Linked DNA regions of Drosophila melanogaster. The protein of the gene in region 1 purifies or fractionates together with the protein of each later gene. This does not show direct contact. Each region holds a gene or a part of one and is shown on either strand. Other genes may lie near its edges. The genes, in order: Sf3a2 and Sf3a1.

The links.
Region 2: the proteins of Sf3a2 (region 1) and Sf3a1 purify together in Drosophila melanogaster (affinity purification with mass spectrometry, with the first as the bait; one large-scale study listed by BioGRID). This does not show direct contact.

What each region holds. Positions count from the first base shown.
Region 1 is NT_037436.4:12,809,237-12,819,413, reverse strand, and holds Sf3a2 (splicing factor 3a subunit 2), read left to right. Parts: upstream 1-5,394; 5' UTR 5,395-5,506; coding exon 5,507-6,301; 3' UTR 6,302-6,386; downstream 6,387-10,177. Other genes in the region: CG42588 (uncharacterized protein), read right to left, coding at 1-3,215, 4,534-4,882; CG32110 (uncharacterized protein), read right to left, coding at 9,410-10,177; Sap130 (Sin3A-associated protein 130), read right to left, coding at 6,585-6,734, 6,798-6,905, 6,964-7,134, 7,194-7,464, 7,528-7,766, 7,826-8,686, 8,751-9,208.
Region 2 is NT_033777.3:16,995,932-17,008,155, forward strand, and holds Sf3a1 (splicing factor 3a subunit 1), read right to left. Parts: upstream 6,425-12,224; 5' UTR 6,329-6,424; coding exon 6,220-6,328; intron 6,098-6,219; coding exon 5,933-6,097; intron 5,876-5,932; coding exon 5,704-5,875; intron 5,643-5,703; coding exon 4,180-5,642; intron 4,124-4,179; coding exon 3,951-4,123; intron 3,890-3,950; coding exon 3,719-3,889; intron 3,662-3,718; coding exon 3,560-3,661; 3' UTR 3,453-3,559; downstream 1-3,452. Other genes in the region: EMC2A (ER membrane protein complex subunit 2A), read right to left, coding at 1-28; CG3534 (uncharacterized protein), read left to right, coding at 658-717, 1,122-1,243, 1,534-2,361, 2,420-2,641, 2,856-3,045, 3,105-3,341; Irc (Immune-regulated catalase), read left to right, coding at 7,145-7,220, 8,273-8,369, 8,537-8,870, 8,935-9,121, 9,239-9,420, 9,493-10,058, 10,174-10,345, 10,403-10,570 and 3 more.

The DNA.
Region 1 (10,177 bases):
CTGTATCTCTATAGACGGCTGCTCCTCCTCGGTCTCATCGTAATCTGGTGTAGCGTCATCGCTGATGTCCGTTTCATTGATCTTCATTTGTTTCACTCGCTGGCTTCGCACTGGAGTCTTAGAGCGTTTCCCTTCGTTGTCATCGAAGCCCAGAAATATGGAGCCATCATCATCACTTGTGCTGGAAGTTGGAATCCGATTTCCAGCATTCGCGCTAACTGGATGAAGAAACTCAAAATGCACGGGCTTTTCCGACGGATTTTTCTGGCCAACTTTTGTGGATCTCTTGCTGAGCACGGGACGTGTCTTAACAAGTTTCTTGCGGGGTAGCGCTTTAGATGCTTCTTCTGTTTTAGAAGTTGGCGATAGCTTTTTGGTTTGTGGCACCACCTTTTCGGCCGTCAGGTGGCCAATTAAATTCTGTATTCCTTTGGCATCAACTGAGCTATCTACACTGGTATTTAACTCCTGCGAGTCCTTACGGAATGGTAACTGGGGCTCACCCTGTGGGGCAGGTGGATTTTGTGAGAGGACATCAATTAGGGAGACATTACTGCTTGACGATGCGGGCTGTGGAACCTCGAAGTCTTCCTGACTACTGGTCTTGTGTGTAGATTTATTCTTAGGCATTTTGGGTGGGTGGTATAACTGGGTTAGGTCTCGTTCCGATGATGATTTTGACTGAATTTTATCTTCTTTTTGGTAACTTATTTCACTCTCATCATCTTTGTCCTCATGGGCTTGGCTTTTCGCTGAATCTTCATCTTGAACTGGACTGATTTCTTCTTCACACTGCTTCTCATCTGCTGGCACCTTTGGATTGTTTTTAACACTAGATAAATTATGATTTATTTGGTCTGAGCTCGTGCTAGCTGAATTGTCATTTACCTCGATTCCTGGGACTCCGTATCGATCCTCCATCAGGCTGTGATCGATAGCCATCGCCTGCTCGTCCTCCTCCTCAAAATCTAACTTGGCTTTCTTCACTTCAATTGGCTTTTGGATGCTTGGTCTTTTGGTGCGTTGCACTAGATTAATTTTAGCTTTTTTGGATCTGATAGGTGCCCTTTTCACAGGAGGATTGACCTCCTTTAAGGGCTCTGGATCTGACGCTGTCTTGACCTCTTCCAAAGGCACTTGTGATTTTTCGTCACATTTTTTTGGCAAAGTTGTGATAACAGTTGTTTCATCGTTGGCCTCTTGAATTGAGGTCTCGGTTACCGAAGATTTCACATTTTGCAATTCGCTTGCAGTGGTATTATCTACTGGGTTTGGGAAGTTATTGTGTATATTAGTGTCCTCCAGAGCTGAGTCTCCCACTTGTAAGTCCACCAATGGTGTACTCAATGATGTTACACTGCTTTGCATTTTTACTGCGTTCGGGCTAATCCTCAGTACATTTGTACTGTCGCTGCTTATATCCAAAGTAGCATGCAATATATTCATATCGTCCATTTTAACAATCTTTCCGATGGGTAGCTCCTCCTCCTCGGGTTGCGTAACCGATGAACTAGCAAACGAACATCCTCCAAATCCAAATAGAGCACTCAATCTTTGCTCTTCCGGTGAAAGATCCATAAAGCTGCTTTCATCGAGCGGATTTTCAGCGGTCAATTGAGCTATGAAATCTACAGCGGATTGGATTTTATGCTCTGGTGATGTGGCCGCAGAAGAACTCGATTGTTCTTGACTCACTGCTGATGTGTCCGCTTGAGAATGCATATCACCTATTTCTGTGTTCGGTTCCCTATTCAATTTGGATATTAAAGGAACAGATTGAACCAAGTCGGCGTTCATATCTTTAGGTATGTTTTCTGGTTCAGGCAAATCAACCAGGTTCGATTCTGTGGTAACCTCAGCAGTTAAATGCCCTCTTTCCGAAGTTATAGGAATATATACAGGAGTACTTGATCCAAGTGCATTCACCTCTGGATAATTGATTGGTTCATTAAAGGACTTAAGAGGGCTTGACTCGGTAGTCGGATCAGGAGTTGAGGGAATATATACAGGAAAATCAATTGGGTTAGCAACTGCCATAACTCCTTCCGTTTCTAAATTGGAAACTAATTCTAGTTCCACGGAATTAGAAGTGGCCTGATTTGGTTCAGACGAATAACGATTTCCAGGTGTTGTAGGCACTGATGTGGGAAAGTCTATTGCCTTGTCTTCAGTAGACTCATTCGATTCAATAATTGTTTGTTTTGTTGATTCTACAGGTAATGGATTTGAACGAATACTTGAGCCAGCTGAAAAGTCTGTTGCTTTATTTGGCTTTGGATTATACAAAGGAGCAATATTTCCTTTCAGAGTTGGTGATGAAAAGGGCGACGTTCGTTTTGGTTGAAGTATTGTGTTAATAGTGAAATGAGTATCCATTGTGGAAATAACATCCTTTGAATTAAGTGTTTTCATAGCTTGAGGTTGTTTCACCTGATCCGCCTGATTACGAATCTCTTTGGCCATCTCGGCCAGTTTTTCCCGTGAAACCTTAAACTTATTGGCGTTCATAATAACCTTGCCCTTGATCACTTTAGATTGGATATTTGGTGTTGCAGCGCTATCCGGAGAATTTGTAGCTTCCACCGGAGCATTGGGCAGCCGAAGCCCACTCAAATCGATTTTCTCGTTGGGTGCCAACACCTTATGCTCCAGCACAATTAGCGGCGGTGTTGGACTCCTATGAAGTTGTGTGGGAACCGTAGGAGCTGCTCGAGCTATAGGAACCTCTGGAGGTGGATATGGTTGGCTAAAAACATTCGTAGTTTGCTGTACTGGAATCCTCTGTGGACTTGGGGAAACTTGATGCACTGTCCCGTGCGGGTTCACTAAGGGACTGTCACTCGATACGCACATGGCTCGATGTTTGGGCAGCTGATTTACCAAATTGAGCAAAAGTGGCGGCTGCTTTTGTCGGACAGTCAAGTCCGCCTTGGCAATGGACATGGAAGAGGCTGCCGGAGCTGGGGAAATCCCGCCACTGCGAGGAGCTGTTTCGTGGCAAACAGGTGGTGGCATCTTAGGCGCTGCTTTGGAAGTTGTGGGCTTCTGCTGAGCCTGCGTGTTCGTGATTAAGCTCTTGTTTAGTATTCTGTTCTTTAATAGCGCCTTCACTTGTTTGGAACGGTCACCATCCGTTGGATTTGGAGTCGGCTGGATGGGCACTATCTTCTCGATGTGTTCCGAGATCATAAAACGCTTTACTAGAGGCTGAGGTGCTAAAAATTATAAAAGTGAAACATAATTAATAAAGGAAACTATAAGCAGAAGAACTTAGGAGCAAAGTTAAAGGAGCACAGTTTTAAAGCGAAATAAGCCATCTTATACATAAAAGATGCAATTCATTGTTAAAGCAAACATTAAATAAAACCATATAGAGCATGTATTAGCAAAAACAATCGCACACACAAACGGCAGTTTGACCGCAATGGGATTTGAACCCGGGCCAAAAAGGGAATTATGTTGCCTCGCATCGACGCTTCGTCCCTAACCTCATTTTGAGCGCGCACTTGACGATTGAACCACCGAAAGAGTACGAATTGTTGTGGCACGAGTGGGTCTTGAATCTAGTTTGCCAGACGAGTAGTCAAAAAAAATATTTACCCTTTCAAGGGTATCATATTTATGAATTAAGCTCATTATCCCTATTTTACAATTAAGTGTAAAATTTTATTTGCTTTTGACCAATTAAATTTTCATAATTTATGGCTTTACGTAGTTAGTACTCTATCACACAACAACAAAAATTAAATGATTATTGATTAAACTCATTATTCAATTGTTAAAATTTAAAAAAAAGTTTTCGTTAAAAACTTTTTGTGTTACATTTAACAACAACGACAAAAATATTGAAGTGTTCTAGTATTAGCAGTATATTTCATCTCATTTCAAAGAAAAGTACCAACTAATCTAAATGTCCCGAATTAATTTTTTTTTGGTTTTTTAAATTTATTTATTAAAAGAATATTAAAATATACATAAAATATCCTTGTAAAACATGTGATTCTCTTGGCTTATTAAAATATCGATCGTTTTAAATAATTAAATACCAAATTATGTTATTCAATATAAATTTTATTGGCAGTATGTTTTGGAAATAATAACGTCCTGTTTGACAAGTGAACATATTGTAGATGTTCAGATACAGATACAGATGGTTAGCCATCCTAATATTTCTAACCTATAGACCTGAATTTTTAACAAAAATAGACTTTTTTAAACTAAAAAAAATTATTTTAGGTTGCCATTCGAAATACGTAAAAAATAAAATATATCGAGATACACGAAAAGAAAGTGAAGGCGCCGCACTCACTGCGAGACGAACTCAGAACAATTAATACAAAAACTAACTCTTTGACAATCTGTCGGCGTCTCAATCAGTTGCACCATCGTTTTGGTTTTCGGTACTGTGCCCAAAACTCGTAGAAGCATTTAGACGATTTTCGTATCACTTGGTACAAAACCCCTGGGTTTGTAACGGTTTTTTGGGCGATGCACAGCTTAAAGCAAATATATATATATACAAGTATGCATTACCAGGCTGACGCAATTGTTGTTGTGGCGACTGCAATTTGCTCTCTGGCGCAGTTGGCGTCGACTGCGCTGCGGCAGAGGTGGAAAGACTGGTGGACGATGGGGCGTCCACCCTCTTGGCATCCAGCTTCTGCTTCCTAAGCACCTCGGCCAGCTGCCTATCGAGTCCAGCCTCCTTGAGCTTGTTGAAATCCAGCTGAATCTTCTTAATTATTCGCTTGGGCGGAGCTGCAGCAGTTTTGGTGGCGTGTGGAGGAGGGGCGCTGGTGGGATTACCGGGCTTCGGTTGATTAGAAGTGGTGGTCATTGGCGCCGGTGGACCCATGATGACCTGTTTGCTGGAGTTGTCCATTTCGCGGTTACTTTAAAAATCGCATAAGACACTGGCACTGTTTATTCCACGAAAATGACGACAGAAATCGAAATTCTTAAACACTCGTTGCTTCGATTTTTCTCAAGTCCGACGTAATCCACGCAGTGACATTTAAATAAAACACGCTTTTCGAGGCCTAGTACTTGTCACCAACACTAGTTTACTTTAGTTTAGATCGCTGTCTAGACATTTTTCACTTTTTAAATTCTAAAAAAGATCAAGCATGTGCAGCTCGAATTAATAGTGTGACCGCTTTGAAAAAGTAAAATATTCTCAAAGCTTCGGAACGAAAATATACCAAAATATTATATGTAATTCTTTAAAAAAACATCGCAAAAGGAATATATAAGTTATTTTATGTATATTACAGTTTGCAAAAATTTGACTATCATTAAGAATTTTAATGGATTTATGAAACATTCTATTATTTATTTAATACTTTAATCCTGCACACGAACTATCGATTGACTCTGATAAACTACCACCCCTAACCGAATTGGCGTTTCTTGACAACCCTGTTCTGTACAACAAATTTTCATGAAATTTTACCAACGCAAAACGTTTTTCCTTCGTGCGGTTGAAAACTAAAATAAAGTTTACAAAATGGACTTCCAAAACCGCGCCGGCGGCAAGACCGGCAGCGGAGGCGTAGCCTCCTGGTCGGAGACGAACCGCGACCGCAAGGAGCGACTGCGTCAACTGGCCCTGGAGACAATCGATCTGAACAAGGATCCGTACTTCATGAAGAACCATCTGGGCTCCTACGAGTGCAAACTCTGCCTGACGCTGCACAACAACGAGGGCAGCTATTTGGCCCACACGCAGGGCAAGAAGCATCAGGATAATCTGGCAAGAAGAGCCGCCAAGGAGGCAAAGGAGGCACCCTCTTCGCTGCTGGCGCCCGAGAAGCCCCGCGTGGAACCGAAGAAGTTCGTCAAGATTGGACGACCCGGCTACCGGGTGACCAAGCAGCGTGAACTCAGCAACGGCCAGCAGTCGTTGCTCTTTCAGGTGGACTACCCGGAAATCACGGAGTCCATTGTTCCGCGTCACCGCTTCATGTCCGCCTACGAGCAAAAGATCGAGCCGCCAGACCGCAAGTGGCAGTACCTTCTCTTTGCCGCCGAGCCGTACGAGACCATAGGGTTCAAGGTGCCGTCCCGCGAAGTGGAGAAGAGTGAGGGCAAGTTCTGGACGCACTGGAACCGTGACACCAAGCAGTTCTTCCTTCAGTTCGCCTTCAAGTTCGAACCTAAGATCCTGCCGCCACCGCCGCCGAATCTACATAGGGCACTAGGCCCCCCAGGCGGATTCCCCATGCCGGGACCGCCACGTCCTGCTATGCATCCCATGTTCAATGGCGTTCATCCACCGCCACCCATGCTTTCAAACAACTAATTCATCGACAATGTTTACGGGATTTCTCCAAACGCAAGCCGATTACCACAGAAATATTCAAATAATAAACAATTTTCTACTTAATACAACTCGAGGGTTTTTGTATTTGTGTTTCTAGCTTAATAAATTGAAAAAATATTGCTGGTTTTCTTTGTAGCTGTACGACTTACAAATCGATCGCGTTTAAGGTAATTATCTTGGATTCTATAATTTCTGCTTAAATTAGGTAATGTACAACTTATTAATACACACTTGGCTGGCCATCTCCGTTCGTCAATTACTTTTAGATCTTTTCGCGCTTCTTGAAATTCCTTTTCGAAGCGCAGCGGGTGATTATATTAGAAACGTGTGGCTTATGCTCGAAGATCTTCATTAACTGATTCTGTGCCTCGTTGATGCCATCGGTAATAATCTTGCTGCGTTGAATGTTTCCCTGCAAAGTAAATTGGTTTTATGTTGAGATTCAAGCATAATGGATATAAGTATAAGAGCGCACCTTTAGCAGTTCAGTGACTCGCTCAATTTCGCTGTGCTTCTCCTTGTCCTTTTCGAGATCCTGCAGCATGGTCTCCAGCCTGCCCAGACTAAAGACTTCCGATTCATTCTGTAAGAAATCAGTTCAGTCAAAGTAGCCTACCAATACTTTCGTGCCCATTGCTTACCAAGTCCTCCATTTGCGAGCGTAAATGATAAATTTTCCATCCATTGATTTTGCCCTGCACATTTGGCTGATTGGCCAGATCAATGACTGTGGCCCGCCGCTCCTCCCTTGGCTTAACATCAGTGTACCGATGAAAATGATTGTTGGCCAACTTATGTGTGGGCTTATACGTCTGTAGATCAACGGAATCATTTGTTAACTACCACAAAATGAACTGAACCTTCAACTTACATTGAGCAAAGCACAATTGCGCGGACGACGAATCACAAAGTCGACGGGATTTGCGTTCTCCTTGTTGCCCGCCACAGCAGGTGTACTGTTCCGGTGGTTGGCATCGCCTGGCGCACTGTTGGGAGCAACACCCGGGGTCGCTGCTGTCACCAGTAGTCCTCCATTGTTGTGCTTCTGCATGTACGAAGCGCCAGCCGGCGGCGTTGGCTCCGAACTTGGAGGTGGCAGCGATAAGGATGCTTGACTCTGCGTAGAGTGCTGGCTGTCATTGCTGGCAAATACATTATCAGATTATCAACATGCATCATTTGATACAACCACTCAAATAACTCACGTCGATCGTCGCGGCTTTTTCCTAGAGGAGCAGTCATAACTGGAGCTGGAGCTATTACCAGTACCATTCATACGCGTTCCTTGTTGCATCTGCGTCGATCCCACCAAATGAGGCACCTGCTGAGGCTGCTGTTGCTGCGGCGTTGGTGCTTGCACATCCACAAAGGCACTGCTACCACTGCGGGCTCCCAGTGAGGAGTGACCAAGGTTCTGCTGAATCGATTGGTGTGATGAGTACATCTTTTGAAGAACAAATATTAAAGCCATACTTAAGCATATATTGATTGTTGTGTACACACCTCATTAATGGGATTAAAATGCGTGGAATTATCGCGCCCACCAGCGCCTCCCGTGGCTGGCTGATCGCCAATCCTGTCCTGTAATTGCTGATCCACACCAGGTGAGGAATTCGCCGACACTGTAGTTGAGCCGTCCGACGAAGCCGGCGAGTCCGCCCTCGAATTTCTCGTTGAGTTCACGGGGCCAACTGTGGCAGGCACACTAGCGGCGCTACTTGCTACACCATGGGTGACTCGCTCCCGTTCCTTCTTGGCCAGCGCCTCTACGGTCAGCCCAGAGCCAACTGATTGAGGCACTGTCACGGACACCGGCTGAATGTTGAACGTGGTGCCCGGAGCCGGTGGCATGTTTTGTCCACTGTTATTGCTAGCCATTGAAAGCAAAGTGGGTCCTAGATTTTTAGCCGCCCGTATTGGCGAACCTTCCGCATCCCGCTTGCGCATAAAGCTGGACACCAGTGCTCCACTTGCAGTTGCTTGTTGCGGATTGCCCGCTCCCGTGGTCACCTTAACGGACGTATGCAGCGGAATAACCATGTGCTGCGGCGGCGCACTATTTGGTCCTGCTGGTATTATCAATTGCTGGTGGCCAATGGTTCGGGTGGCTGTTCCACCAGCCCCCGACGGCAACACCGTAAAAGTAGCCTGCGATCCGCCGCCACCTGATCCCGCTCCGGCAGTCGCGTGACTTGCAAAGGGTAACGAAGATACCGACAAGCTGCCACCGGCGCTGCTAACCAATTGTGCCTGCGCCTGGGTGCTCTGCGTCACTGTTGTCGTAGTCAATGATAGAACGCCTGTGGAGGCGGAGGCTGGCATAGATTCGTAGTAGATTGTGGCAGCACTTCCCTTCTCATCGATCTGTATAACGATTTAGTTTTAATAGTTAATTGAAGCATCATATATGTAGATAGTTGAAACCTACCTTCATCAACTGGCTCTGTGAAGCAACTACAGGATTCCAGGTGCGTTGAAAGCCCGTCACTGTTGCCCCGCTTGTGCTGGAACCATCTGCTCCAGGGGCAGAAGAAGCTGGTGCCATCATCATCTTGCCCAAAGTGATGCCGCTTGCGTTCTTGATGGGCGTCAGAGTTCCCGTGAGGATATTACCGCCTGGTCCCACTCCCGCTCCCCTGCCACTGATGGTAAGTGGCAGGACAGTGGCTCCACCGGCCGCCGATGTGGCACCCGTCACCGAGCTTGAATTGACCACACTGGCAGAGACATTCGGCACTGGCACCGCCTGGATGCTGGCCACGCCCTGCGGCCCCATTGTTTGTCCTCCACTTCCTCCGCCAGCTGACAGTTTTCCGATGGGATTAAGCTGTGTAATAGTTAGCGATGGCTGAACCTTAGCGGTCATGGTGACAGGTGGACGAATGCCTGTCGATTGATGGTTTCAAAGATATATTATTATTATTTCATTTAATTGTGGTAGGGTTTATTCCTATCATATTCCACTTACAAAAGAACAAGTCACGAAATAATTCTTAAATTTTCAAACACTATTTTATTTTTGTTCTTATTGTATAGTTCTCAGCTCAGTTCAATCCATAAAAAAGTAAACTCTATATAGGAGAACACCTACTTCCACAGCTGGTCGCCGGTCAACTCCAGAACCATCTTAGTGCGAAAATATTTCATGTCTTTCTTGGAAAACGTTATTGGAGCATCCCGGGTTAGGTATTCTGCAAACATGCAGACGAACACGCCGCAATCGTTCATGTTGTCTTGTTGCGGCACATTTTGGGCATCCTCGATGCGAAATTCACTGGTGTCCAAACACAGCCCGAGCTTGTCCTCCGACTCCATTTGAAGGTACTTCACTAGTGCTCGCATCAGATTCGGGTCACCGCGGCCTCTTGAATTGTAGTAGAGCATTGTTTTCGCAGGCAAATCGATTATGACCAGGCACCAGTGAACGAGCATTTGGTGAACAGGCACAAGTATGAGGTCCATGCTAAACAGATCCACCTTTCTAGTCCAGCGTTTTACGCCATCGAAGCCACTTTGCAGCAGGCGGGGCACAAAGAAAGTGCTCATGGCATACACGCTGGGCACTGTACCAGGACGCTTCTCCGATCGCTCGACCAGTAGGTTCATGTAAAAGTTGATTATTTTGTCGTTGAGCCAGCCGCCACTGGTCAGGATTTTGATATCACTGCCGCAGATGTCCAAATTGAACTTGGCCACAATTACCTGCTGCAGTGGATACTTAGATAGTTCCATCAGCCGATCATGGTGTTCTTTGGTCAGCGGAATCAATTCGCTGCTGATTCTTATGTCCTCGATCACATGGACGGACTGCTTAAGGATCAGCTTCTTGTATCTATCGATTTCGCAGGCAATTCG
Region 2 (12,224 bases), on another chromosome or scaffold:
AGCTCATCTTCTCATAATCTAGCGACATATTCACTTAGGCGGACTTAAATATCTCATCAATTTAATTTAATTTCCCAATTGTAATCATTAACTAGCGATTTCCTTCTTGGCAAAATAAAAGTGTGGCAGCGTAATGAGCCGTTAGATTATACCAAATAACACTAGCGTGGCGCTGCCAACCTGCTTTTTGAATATCGTAAAGTCTAGAAATGAAGTCAGAGGTAATTTTTTAAAACTTTTTATTATAAAGAGACTTCTAAAGTTAAGTTTTTCTACATATACCTTGTTTCCGATATTTGCAAAGTTAATTAAACTGTTAATACTTCTGAAATACTTGTAGGTCCTTGAAAAGGATTCTTTAATGAATTATTTTACCATGCATTAATCTTATTTTGTCCAAACTTTGTGCATTGCTTATCCATTTTAACAGATTTCTAAGTCAAGTGCACATTTGAAAAGCGCGCCAACGAAAACATGAAACATGATAGTTTTTCTTCCAGCGACGGTCACACTAACAAATCAAATAATTGTGGTACCGTCAACAAAAGCCAAGTCTCTCGTGCTCTCCGGGTATTAAAGCCGTGGAATCGGGCAGTGCCGCATGCGGTGCTGTGTTTAATTTCCCCAACTCCCAACAGATCCGGAAGCAGTTTGAACATGGGTCCGCCAAAGCAGCTGAAACGAACCTTTCTTGGCTTCGACTTGAGCACGCAAAAGGTGAGAACTGGAACTGCCTACGTAGTATCTTTGCATCTGAGATGTGGAGGCGTCTCCAAATCGACTACATCTGGGCCAATTGCGTGCGAATGGTGTTACTGGAAAAGGTCAAACGGTACTCGGGAACTTGAAACACGAACTACTCTTATCAGTTGCGGTGACCGGGGCTCGATTTTCGCTTATCTGCTAAAGACGCGAGCGCCAACCGATTTAACTATTATGGTTTGATTATTGAAATTCATGTTCGGAGGTATTGGCCCCCGACATTATCTTAATAGAGCCGCAATAACTTTCACAATCCCTGAATGACGCTGGCGGTGACTCCTAGTTGCCCTCTATGTTTGATCGTTATTTTCGAGGTGTGTCTCCATATCGCTAATTGCTGCCCCATTTACTCCTCTCAGCTCAAAGCCGTCCTGCTGGGCTCCAGTTTGGAGGTGGTTGCCGCGGCTGAAGTGAAATTCGACACCGACTTGCCGGAGTTCCGGACCACCGGTGGAGCCAACGCTGGATCCATCAAAAATGAGTGAGTCTGTTTCACCACTATCCATTACTCCAATTGAAGATTTTAATGGGATGATTGTTTGCGTAAAGCAAATAGGGGGATATATTTTACGTTTTTATATCTTGCGCTGTGGGGTATTTGTCCGATAATACTTAGGGCCCTATTTCATAGCAGTTGTTTTATTACACCACAATGGGTCTCTATCACTTCAAGTTTTTTTTAACCTTCCTATAACAGGGACCATATATACAATGGGTACTATAAAATATATATGTGCTAACCTGACTCCACCTTTACTTGTTCTTCTTTAGATACTTTGTACAACCAGTGATGTGGGTGAAGGCCATGGACATTGTCCTGGACCGACTGGTTATGCAGCAAGCGGATCTTAGCACCGTAGCTGCCATCAGTGGCTCCGGACAGCAGCACGGATCGCTCTACTGGTCCAAACATGGAATCAACACGCTGCAAAACCTCGATTCCGAGAAGTTCCTTCACGCACAAATCGACGACTCCGCCTTTGTGGTAAATCGTACTCCGATTTGGATGGACGCCACCACCACCAAACAGTGCCTAGAGATGGAGATGGCTGTTGGTGGCAAACTTAACATGGTGGAACTGACGGGCTCGAAGTGCTACGAACGTTTTACGGGTCCCCAAATTAGAAAGATATATCAGCAACGCTGCCACGCCTACGAAGAGGCCAACCGAATCTCATTGGTCAGCAGTTTTATATCATCGCTATTTCTGGGCTCCGTCGCTCCAATTGACTTCAGTGATGGTTCCGGCATGAATCTGCTGGACATCCGCAAGAAGAACTGGTCCAAAGAATGCCTAAATGTTTGTGCACCCGATTTGGACAAGCGCCTGGACATTCCGGTCAGTCCAAATTCGATTTTAGGCAACGTCTCTCCGTACTTTGTGGAGCGCTTTAGTTTTTCGCCCGATTGCAAAGTGGCTGCTAGCACGGGGGACAATCCTTCGGCGCTGTCTGGAATGTTGGTGGGCAGCAGCTGGCTTACCATTTCCATGGGCACAAGTGACACCCTAATGATGAGCTTGAAGGAGCCGCTAAACTGGGAGGAGGGTCATATACTCTGCCATCCAACTGAAACGGAAGAATTCATGGGCCTTCTATGGTAAATTATTCCTGGGACATTATATCTTAAAATTAGTTTATTTAAATGTCTTTTTCAGTTTTAGAAATGCTTCATTGGTCCGTGAGGAAATGAACAAGAAGACAACCGGCGGCGATTGGGATAAATTCAATGAGTATCTCGACTCCACGCCCCGTGGAAACTTTGGGAACATGGCCGTGCACTTTAACGACATGGAAATCATTCCCAAGGCGCAGGGTATTCTGCGATGGAACAGGGAAATGGATCCCAGTTCCCCGGACGCGGCTAGGGGTGTAATCAAGTAAGTCTGATTGAAAATTTAGCTGTTTTAGGTCCGACATGAAAGCAATGACTCATAATCAGTTAACAGACATCTGTAAATAGTTATTTTTAGAAATGACTTTTTACCAACATGATCATGTTTTTTGTCGTTTATACTTTTTCTTAATGCCTATTTCCCTTCTACTGAATTCTTTAAAATGTATAAAATATTCCTGACCTCTTTCGCTTTATAGATTCAGCTCGCCCCAAATCGAAATTCGAGCCCTAGTTGAAGGTCAGATGCTGCATCACCGGGCTGTGGCTGAAGACCTTGGCTACAAATTCGGACCCGAGACACAAATCCTTGTCACAGGAGGCGCATCTGTTAACAAATCAATCCTGCAAACAATTGCCGATGTGTTCAATGCTCCCGTCCATATCCAGGTTAGTTCATACCAACTGTTTCTCAAGTGCAAGCAATTTAAGCAACATGTTTCTTGCAGGATGAAGGATTTGAGGCTGCCCTACTGGGAGCCGCTTATCGATCCGCCTACGCTCTGTACCTTCAAGAGGCAGGTGATGGGGTGACGCCTCTCTGTTACCGAGATTATATCCTAAGTCTGACAAGTAACAAACTGAGCCTTGTATGCGAACCACACAAGGACAGCGAGGAAATCTACGCTCCAATGCTACAACGATATCGCGAAATGGCGCGCGTCCTGTCCAATCCTAACACATAAACTCTCCGAAAGCCCAACGTAACATTCCAGTTTATACTCCGTACATTCACAAACTGATTCCTTCTTAAACGTCTCCTGTAATTGACAGAACTTAAGTGCAATTAACAAATTCTGTGATTGACGATTTATTACAAATTTATGCGAAACCATATACAAATAAATTTTTATATATGGCCCACTCCTTATTGTGTCTGGTATGCCTTTAATCTTTGATCCGCCTACTTTTTGCGTCCACCACGCTCCTTGACCTGTAAATGCACCGTGGTTCCGTTTACCAGATTGTAAAAAGCCATGGTATTGCTGTCTTTGAAGAACATTCCCTGAAGGATAGATGTTATTGAAATAATAGTTTTCGAAACATTAGTTGTATTTCTTACCTCATAAAATATCTTCTGCTTGGCCGGTGGCATGCCAGTTTCGTCCTGCAGCTTCGTCTTCAGATTGGCAATGGGTTCAGAAAGTGCCATGGTCACGGCTATCATCTGTCCATTAAGCTTCCACTCTGATTTGTCGGAATTGGGTACCAAAACCTGAATGGTCACAGGGCTCTGAAATAATTTAAGATGGGTTATATACCAATAGATAGCCAGATATCAAAATCAAACTTACCTTGTGGGTGGCAATAAAGTCTGCTTCTGGAATCAGGTTGTCCTCGCTTCGAATCTTTTTAGAAGGCGGCTCCTCCTCCATTATATCAACAGGTGGAGCAGGTGCAATTTGCTGAGGGATTCCACCAGGCTGCATGTTCATGTAGCCTCCACCACCAGCTCCAAAAGGCGGCTCTGCAAAATAAAAACGCTAAGCCCTCGACGAGATTTGCATACTATTTGTTACTTACGCATCATGGTTGGACGCAGTTGCATCAGCTGCATCACCGGTTGAGGCTGCTGCGGCGGGTGATGGTGGTGCGACTGGTGAGGTGGCGCCTGCTGATGCGGTGGATGGTGATGATGAGGATTATGATGCCCGTGGTGACCACCTCCGCCACCTTGGTGGTGTTGACTCTGGCTGGAGTGACTGTGCTGCGACTTGGTTGACGGCTGCGGCGGAGCTGAAAGCGTCGCCTTGTTGCCCACCGGTTTGGGGCCGATTTTCTCCTTCTCCTCGTCGGGCAGCAGTCCCTTAACCTTGTGGATTTGATGAATTTGTTCCTCCAGAGTGATATTTGCACGTGCTGCTCTCGTGGCCGCCTCCACGCTGGACGTGTGTCCGTCCCAGGTGACGCGATCGTCCTTCTTCGTCTCCTCTTCGCCGAGCTTCTTACCAATGACGGTCTCCTCGTCGCCCACACCAAAGATATCCGTACGACGCTCAGCCAGTTGCTTGAGACTCGCCTCGATGGCAGTGCCCGCGGCGAACACATTGTCTTGATTGATTTTCTCCACAGTATGCTTGTCTCGCTGTTCCACCCAGCGTGGATCCAATAGACCGATGCGCATGTGCTCCGAGACCTTGGAAGCCGGTATTTTCTCTCCTGTAATCGGCGAGATGAGATACTCATCCGTAGGCATTGGCGCCTGCTTCGGTTGCGTTGCCTTAGGATCGTATTTCTTGACCACCACTTTGTCGTGGGTGGGCGGCAGCATTGGCGCAACAGATGGCTGCAACTTAGTGGTTGGAGTGTCCTCATCACTAGAGGCTTCGTCCATGTCTTGCACCTGGGTGTTGTCTCTCTTGGGGCCAGTCGGCTGGCCATACGACGATACGTTCTTCATTTGTATACCCACACGGTTCTCCATTTGCGAGAGTTTCAGACCGCTGTCCAATAGGTTGTTAGCCTGGGAGTCGCCCTCGTCGTCCGACTCGATCTGCATTTCTGTATCGCCCTCTTCGTCCATTAGACGCTCTTCCATTAGCACACGGGCTCCTACCTCGTCGGGATTCGTGGGTGGCGGGAAGTTGCCCGATTCGAATGGCTGATAGTCCACCGTCTCCACCACCACAAAGTCATGCCAATCGATTTGGGCATAGGCCACGCGCTCCCTTTCGATCTTCTCCTCCTCACGGCGGCGTTGTGCTTCTTGGTGACGCTGCCAGTTGGCCCGATATTTAACCTGCTCCAGCACCTGGTTCATGCTGCTCCTGCCCGGTGCGCTCTCGGAACGCAGTTTGCCCAGCAAATCCTTTGGAGGTATCAAGACCTTGGTATACTGCTCCAGCAACTTGGTAAAGTACTGGAAGAGCGAGTGCTGGGGTCGCAGGAAGTCAAACTGAAAGTTACGCTGCTCCCGGCTCATAAGATTGGTCAGAAACTGTCGGCCGTTACGGGCCACAAATTGAGCAGTTAGCTTCACAATGTCCCTGAAAAGATATGCAAGACAATAAGACAGCGATTGGAACTTCCTGGCGAGTGGACACTTACAAATCCAGCGCCGAAATGGAGGGCGGATCGGCTATGAACTCGAATTCAGGTGGAGGTTCCTTTGGTACGAACTGCTGCTCCACCACTTGCTTGAGAAGCTCTTGCTGGCGCTGTTGGGCGGCACTGGTCACCGCCAGCTGCTTCATGCTGGCAAGGGCAGTGATACCGGCATCTGAAACGGTCTCATGTATTAAGAGGAAGTATTAATGGGAAGTGAACGAAAACATACCATTGCCCTCGCGGAACTCGTTGACCTTGTGTCTGTAGTATGCGTGGTAGGGATCTCCGCCATTTAAGAAGTTAAACTTTGGATTGCCCAGCTCATTTTGGCGGATGCGCGCCTCGAATTCCGGTCCATTGCGAGCCACAAAACTGGCGGTCTTGTCAACGATATCTAATAGTTAAAGCTTTGATAACTGAGTATGGGAAACGCTAAATGTGTATTAAATGAATGTATTTTGAGTAAAAAATGGCTAAATTGAGAAAAAAGTTTGTTTTCTTTTTGGCAAAGGATGCTTCTAACTTCCGGCGGCGGATAGATAATCCCAATGATTGGACCCGACATCGACTTGGGCTGATCATTGCCGAACTGCTCCTCGTTGGCTTCCGCGTCTAAAGTTGCCATGGCTGGTGAAATCGTCCTCTTTTATTGATAAAATCTGATTGCTTTTTGAGAAATGAGAAAACGCTTGTTTAGCCGAAAATTAGAGGTGGAAGGAATAGGGATGGAACAATCGTTGGACTGTTGCCACCGCCATCGATAGTTTTCTTACATTCATGTAGTAATGTTAGGGTGACTCAATAAACGAACTAGTTTCAAGCCGGAACTAGTGAACCACTGGCTCAGCCTATCGATTAATTTGGCGCTGGATTTAAACAATCTGTCGGACAAACCATCAACTCAGGCGTTAATAATGGCTTATAAAATCTTTACATATATATCAGTAGATGGACGGACAAAGGCGTGGGCAGAACTGAACCCCACGGATGAGGTCTTTATTTGCATATTATGTTAGTGTTGGTACGGCTTTGTACGGGTGGCTTGATTCACCAAGCCAAAACAAAAATAACATTTGTTTACGTTTGTACGACTTTATTCATTCGCTGAGAGAGTCTGCTGCCAGCACGATAGCCAGATGATGATGATGATGATTATCCAGATGATGAGGTTCCCTTGTGCGTGATAACGACCCGACTCATTCTCATTCTCATCGACTCGATTCTGTCGAGATTTGCCCCCAAGCTCAGTAGTCTACGAATCGCTGAGCCGTCGACACGGTTTAATTGGACTGAAAGCGCGGATTAGGTCCGATAGAGTCGCAGTTCGGATCACTTCCTTATCACAAGCTAGCGACGTGACTTAAATCCCATTGACGTGCGGGTATTTTGTGAATCACAACCGGTGGCTGAAAAATCCGAGTTCTAGAACAAAGACACTGCAATGGGTGGAATTCAGTACATCTGCCTGCTGGCTTTCATAATAGGAGCATCATTATTGACAACAATCGATGCTAATTGTGAGTCCGCTAGCAGTATTTAAATTAAACTCTGTGTTTATAGAGACATTTTGGTGTCAAGTATCTCATTCTCGTGCTAATTTCTTTTAAGAGAGCACAGTCTTCTTCGTGTAGAAAAGTAGACCAAATAGAGGGAAACCTATTAATTTTATAGCTTGTTATTCGGTTTATTATGATAATAAAAACTTTATTGAAGTATATAAATATTTAATTGATAAAGCAGAAAGACATTCGTAAAGCGGAGGCTGGTCGTCTCACAGCGATAAATTTCCACAATCACTACGCACTATTTAGCCTGTAATTAAGTACAAGTATTAAAAATATATACAGAAATGGGAAACTGTTTTATTGATCAATGTAAAATGTACTTTCCACTTTCTGCGAGTGCTCAAGCGTTATATCATCATGAATGACTGCATTGGTTTTTACCAGGTTTTCACATTTGTTTATTGTAATAAACATTACTAAATTGTTACATTCAAAAAACCCCATTTGCATATACTTGTTGATAAAGATTCCAATAAATTCCAAAAGCTCACCCCAAGGTTCGCATATATGAGGGCTTATCGCTGAATAAGAATTCCCAATCAACAATTGTTTACTGATCGGATCCAAATAGATTTCTATAAGCGTGAGAAATAATTGATGTTTATTTTTCGAGTAAGATGCAGAGATATTTCACTTGAATTAGCATACTGTATTCAGGTAAATATCTCTTTAATAGGGTATTCACACTTTCAATAACAATACGACTGCATAGAAACCATTCACAAAAGGCCATTTTTTATGATTGTATCGTTACCTTTGATATAGTACTTTTAAATTGTCTTGATTAATGTGTTGACAAGACAATTTGTGGAATATTCCAGAACAATTCAATTATACCGTAGATATAAATCATGTTTTCTTTAAATGAGTCAATTTACTTAAAACGGCGCCTAGAAATTGAGATTCCCAAGAGAAATGATGATAATGAAAATTATAAATTAAACTACCCATCTGAATAAACTTAAATTTAACCAATTCATTTGTATCATTTTATGAATCTTCAGCGAGCCGAGATGTTAATGCCGAATTAAACAGGATTCCTGCTTCGAAATGGTTGCAATATGTAGAAACGGCGTTGGACTCAGTAAATAGGCAAAAGCGGTTTGTACAACTGATTACTTTGAAAACCAGTTAACTTTAATGACTTACGCTGATATGTTTAGGATGTGACACTTTTCTGCTGAACTTGGTGCGCGACTTATATTTCCGTATTCGGGCTTAAATTTAAACATTATATTTTACATAATATTACTTAACCATTTTTTCAGACTGGAGGACAATCTATTAGGTTCCGATATCACTGTTAAGAACGGCAGCCTTTCACACGCTCAACTTCTGGATACTTTACCAAGCCTAGCTTCGAAGAAGGACAATAAGCTCGCCCTGAAGATCCTTAAGTCCAGCTTGCTCGTTTTCAACAGCGAATGCCTGCCTAATAATATCGATGGAGACAAGTGCCGCAGTTACCTGGAGCAAAAACCACTTCCGGAGGGCAGTAGCTTGCGAACTGAGTGTGAGAACTCACTCAAGGGAAATCGAGAGGGTCACTATGCTTTCAGAAGGCTACTTGGGAGCAGCCACTACAGGAACGGTTTCTATCAGGTGCGATCCGCTCAGAAAAACAGGATGTAGAAGATGAATTAAATGGTTTATATGGTATTTTTAGATGTTTCCCAATTCCGGAAGACGCGAAACAGTGCCGGCTGCGTGGTCCATTAGTAAGGAGCTGTATGAGCCCGATCACATTCAGATCTCCAAACAACAAACCTTCGAAAGCAATTCCAATTTGGCCCTCCCTCAGTGGGCTCAATTTGTGGAGCATGATCTTAGCAAGCCGGTGTCGCAATCAATGAGTGAGTTTCATATGATGACCTCTTCCTTTTGTACTTAACATACTTAAAACCAAAGTATATCAATTTATATATTTATATTGTTAAAATTGTTTCAATTAACGATTTCTCCGTTCCCAGGCAATGGAGCCCCAATAGAGTGCTGCAGCCGTGACCAGATCAACCTTCAGCCGCGTCACCACCACCCGGCATGTGCTCCGATTCTGTACCAGCCCGGTGGGAAATACGACGTGCCCAGCTGCCTTAACTATGTGCGAAGTGCTCTGGCCGTGGCTGATTGCAATTTCGGTGGCGCCGAACAAGTAAGAAGAATTCAATTGTGAAAAACCATGTAAAAATATCACTGATTGCTTACTTCTATTATATGTATGTAGCTCAACCAGGCCACGGGGTCCTTGGATCTATCGCAACTCTATGGTTTCACCGCAGCGGCGGAGAGAAAGTTGCGTGTTCTCGAGGGCGGTTTGTTAAGGTCAACTCCTCGTGGAGAATTCGACAACGCCCTCCTGCCCATCGCCACCGATACGGAAGGACCATCGTTCTGCGCCAGGGCAACAATTGGTGATGGCACCTGCTTTGCTGCCGGAGATTCGCGGGTGAATAGCAGTCCGTTCTCCATACTGATCTACACGATCTTCATGCGCAATCACAACAAAGTGGCTGCCGAGCTGAAGCAAAGGAATCCCCGGTGGAGCGATGAAAAGCTCTTCCAAGCTGCCAAGGCAGTCAATGTGGATATATATCGTCGAGTGGTCATTGAGGAGTGGCTGCCAGAGGTGCTCGGCCAGAAGATGTCCAGTGAGATTAGGAGAAAACAGCCTAATCGTGCTTTGGAGGTCTCCAATGAGTTTGCGGTGGCTGCCATTCGATTTTACTTCTCTATGCTGCCCAATGAGCTCCTAAATCTGACCAAGGATAACGTAGTCTACGGTACTGAGAAGTGAGTGTCACAATCTGATGAAGAATAAATTAAGAAATTCATTTCCATATAAATTACTAATACGACAAGTTGGCCAGAATCTTTAAACTTTTAATAACATTTAACTTTCTTACAGAAACAACCAATATGTGTTTATTAGCAAGGAGCTACCAACTAAAAACCTTTTTGAGCTCAAGGAAGAAATCTACAAACCAAAGTTGCAGTACACTTCCCAAAAGTTGAATAACATCCTTGAGAGTTTGCTCAATCAGGAGACCATGAAGATGGACGCTGCCTACTCCGGTGGTGTAAGCCAAATGATTTTGATATTTTATAGCTTCTGAAATTCATTTTTTAACTAACAGGTCGTCTGGCACAAGGACACCAAGCCAACCCATGCCGATATTTTGGCCTTCGATATCCAAAGGGGGAGAGATCACGGTCTGCTGCCATATTATCGGTACTTGGAATCGTGTGTGTTGTCCAGACCCGTAGAAAGCTGGAAAGATTTTGAGCATTTCATTCCCAGTGATGTAGGTCTTTTATTTATTTATTATTTATATTTTAATTTTTTTTTAATATAATTTTAAAATATTCATTCAACAAGGTCTTGGATAAGCTGAAAACAATATACGCCAGTTGGGCTGATGTGGACCTCATTGTGGGTGGTATTTCGGAGAATCCTGTTCATGGATCCATTGGCCCCACCTTCAGTTGCATTATCTGTATGAGTTATACTGCTAGCAAATGTATATATATCACTCAATTACTTTTCTTATAGCTGAGCAATTCGTACATGTTCTGAAACAAAACCAGCAAAAAGCTGTCCAAAAACACACTGAACTGGTGGAGCAATATCGCCACTTCAATGGAACCAAACTCCTTTGCCTGAATTCCGGCCTTTCAGCTGTTCCCCAGAATATCTTCCAGTTGCCATCGGCCAGGTTAGTATTGGAAAAAAAATCATAATAGATCACCTGTCACTCGCTTGAGTCACAGTCCGTACACAATTTGATTCACATTTGATATTATACTGAGTACTGGAGTGATAAGCTCAGCAACCAAAATTATCTACAACCTTAATGATTGTTTTTTCTTTCGCGTTTCCTTACAGAAATCAAATGGTCTCTTGTGAAGACGTCTAGAGGTTGACAAAACAACGCTGCTCACATTTAAGATTGTTTCCAAACCAAAAAAAAATATATATAAGAGTCAAAACTCATTAAATACCTCAATCTTGATTCTTATTATCTTATTGCTATATTGGTTGTTAACTATACGTTTTGTCTAAGGGAACATCGAATTACAGGTAGAATTACATGACATAGACATGAATTTACAGATCAATTGTGTCTGGTTGACACTTTTGATAACTCTCAATTCAGAAGCGGATCGTTAAAGTCACGCAATATTACTATACTCAAAGTTGTTGCAGAAAGTGTTGCGGACAGTGCGGTACGTGTATTTCCATTTTCAACAATTCCCATTTTCAACTGTAATGAGGGTCGCTTTTTTCTGTTATTACGTGAAGTAGTAGTCATTAAAAGGCAAGAATGTCACAATTTGCTCCAATAAAAGTTATTGGCCAATAAACGAATAAAATAGTTACCCCAGACCCTAAGCATGATTGTTTTAAAGCTCTTTATTTATGATGAAGGACTTTCTTAAGTTAGGAATGATTCATAGGCAACATACAAAATACATGATATGATAATACGAGTAGAATAAGATATAAAGTAAGTTGTATGTAGATTTAATTGATCGAAATTATGCGCGCACGTCATGACATAAGTAATTTTCATTTCCGTTTTTTGAAAAATAGTCATCAAGACGTTTTTAATGATTTCTGTAAAGATTAAAACAACCATAGAGATGCATTTTTGCGATATAAAACTTATACTTAAGTTTTATTCAAGAACACTTTCACTTTTTCGCCAATCAATAATAAGCTATTTAAGTAATGTGTTAATGGAACTTAAAGAAATTCCTAGTAATTACTATCTTTAATTGAAAGTAAGATTTGTTGTTGGTAACAGGGTCAACTGCTGACCATTTCATACGATCCCACAGTGGGCCGATATCAAAATCAAGGCCCAAGGGTAGCAGACTCTCTCATAAGGAATGGTATTCGTATTTGTATTTGTTGCTCTGCTTCCAGATAAGATTGAAAAAGTGCCTATGAGCACC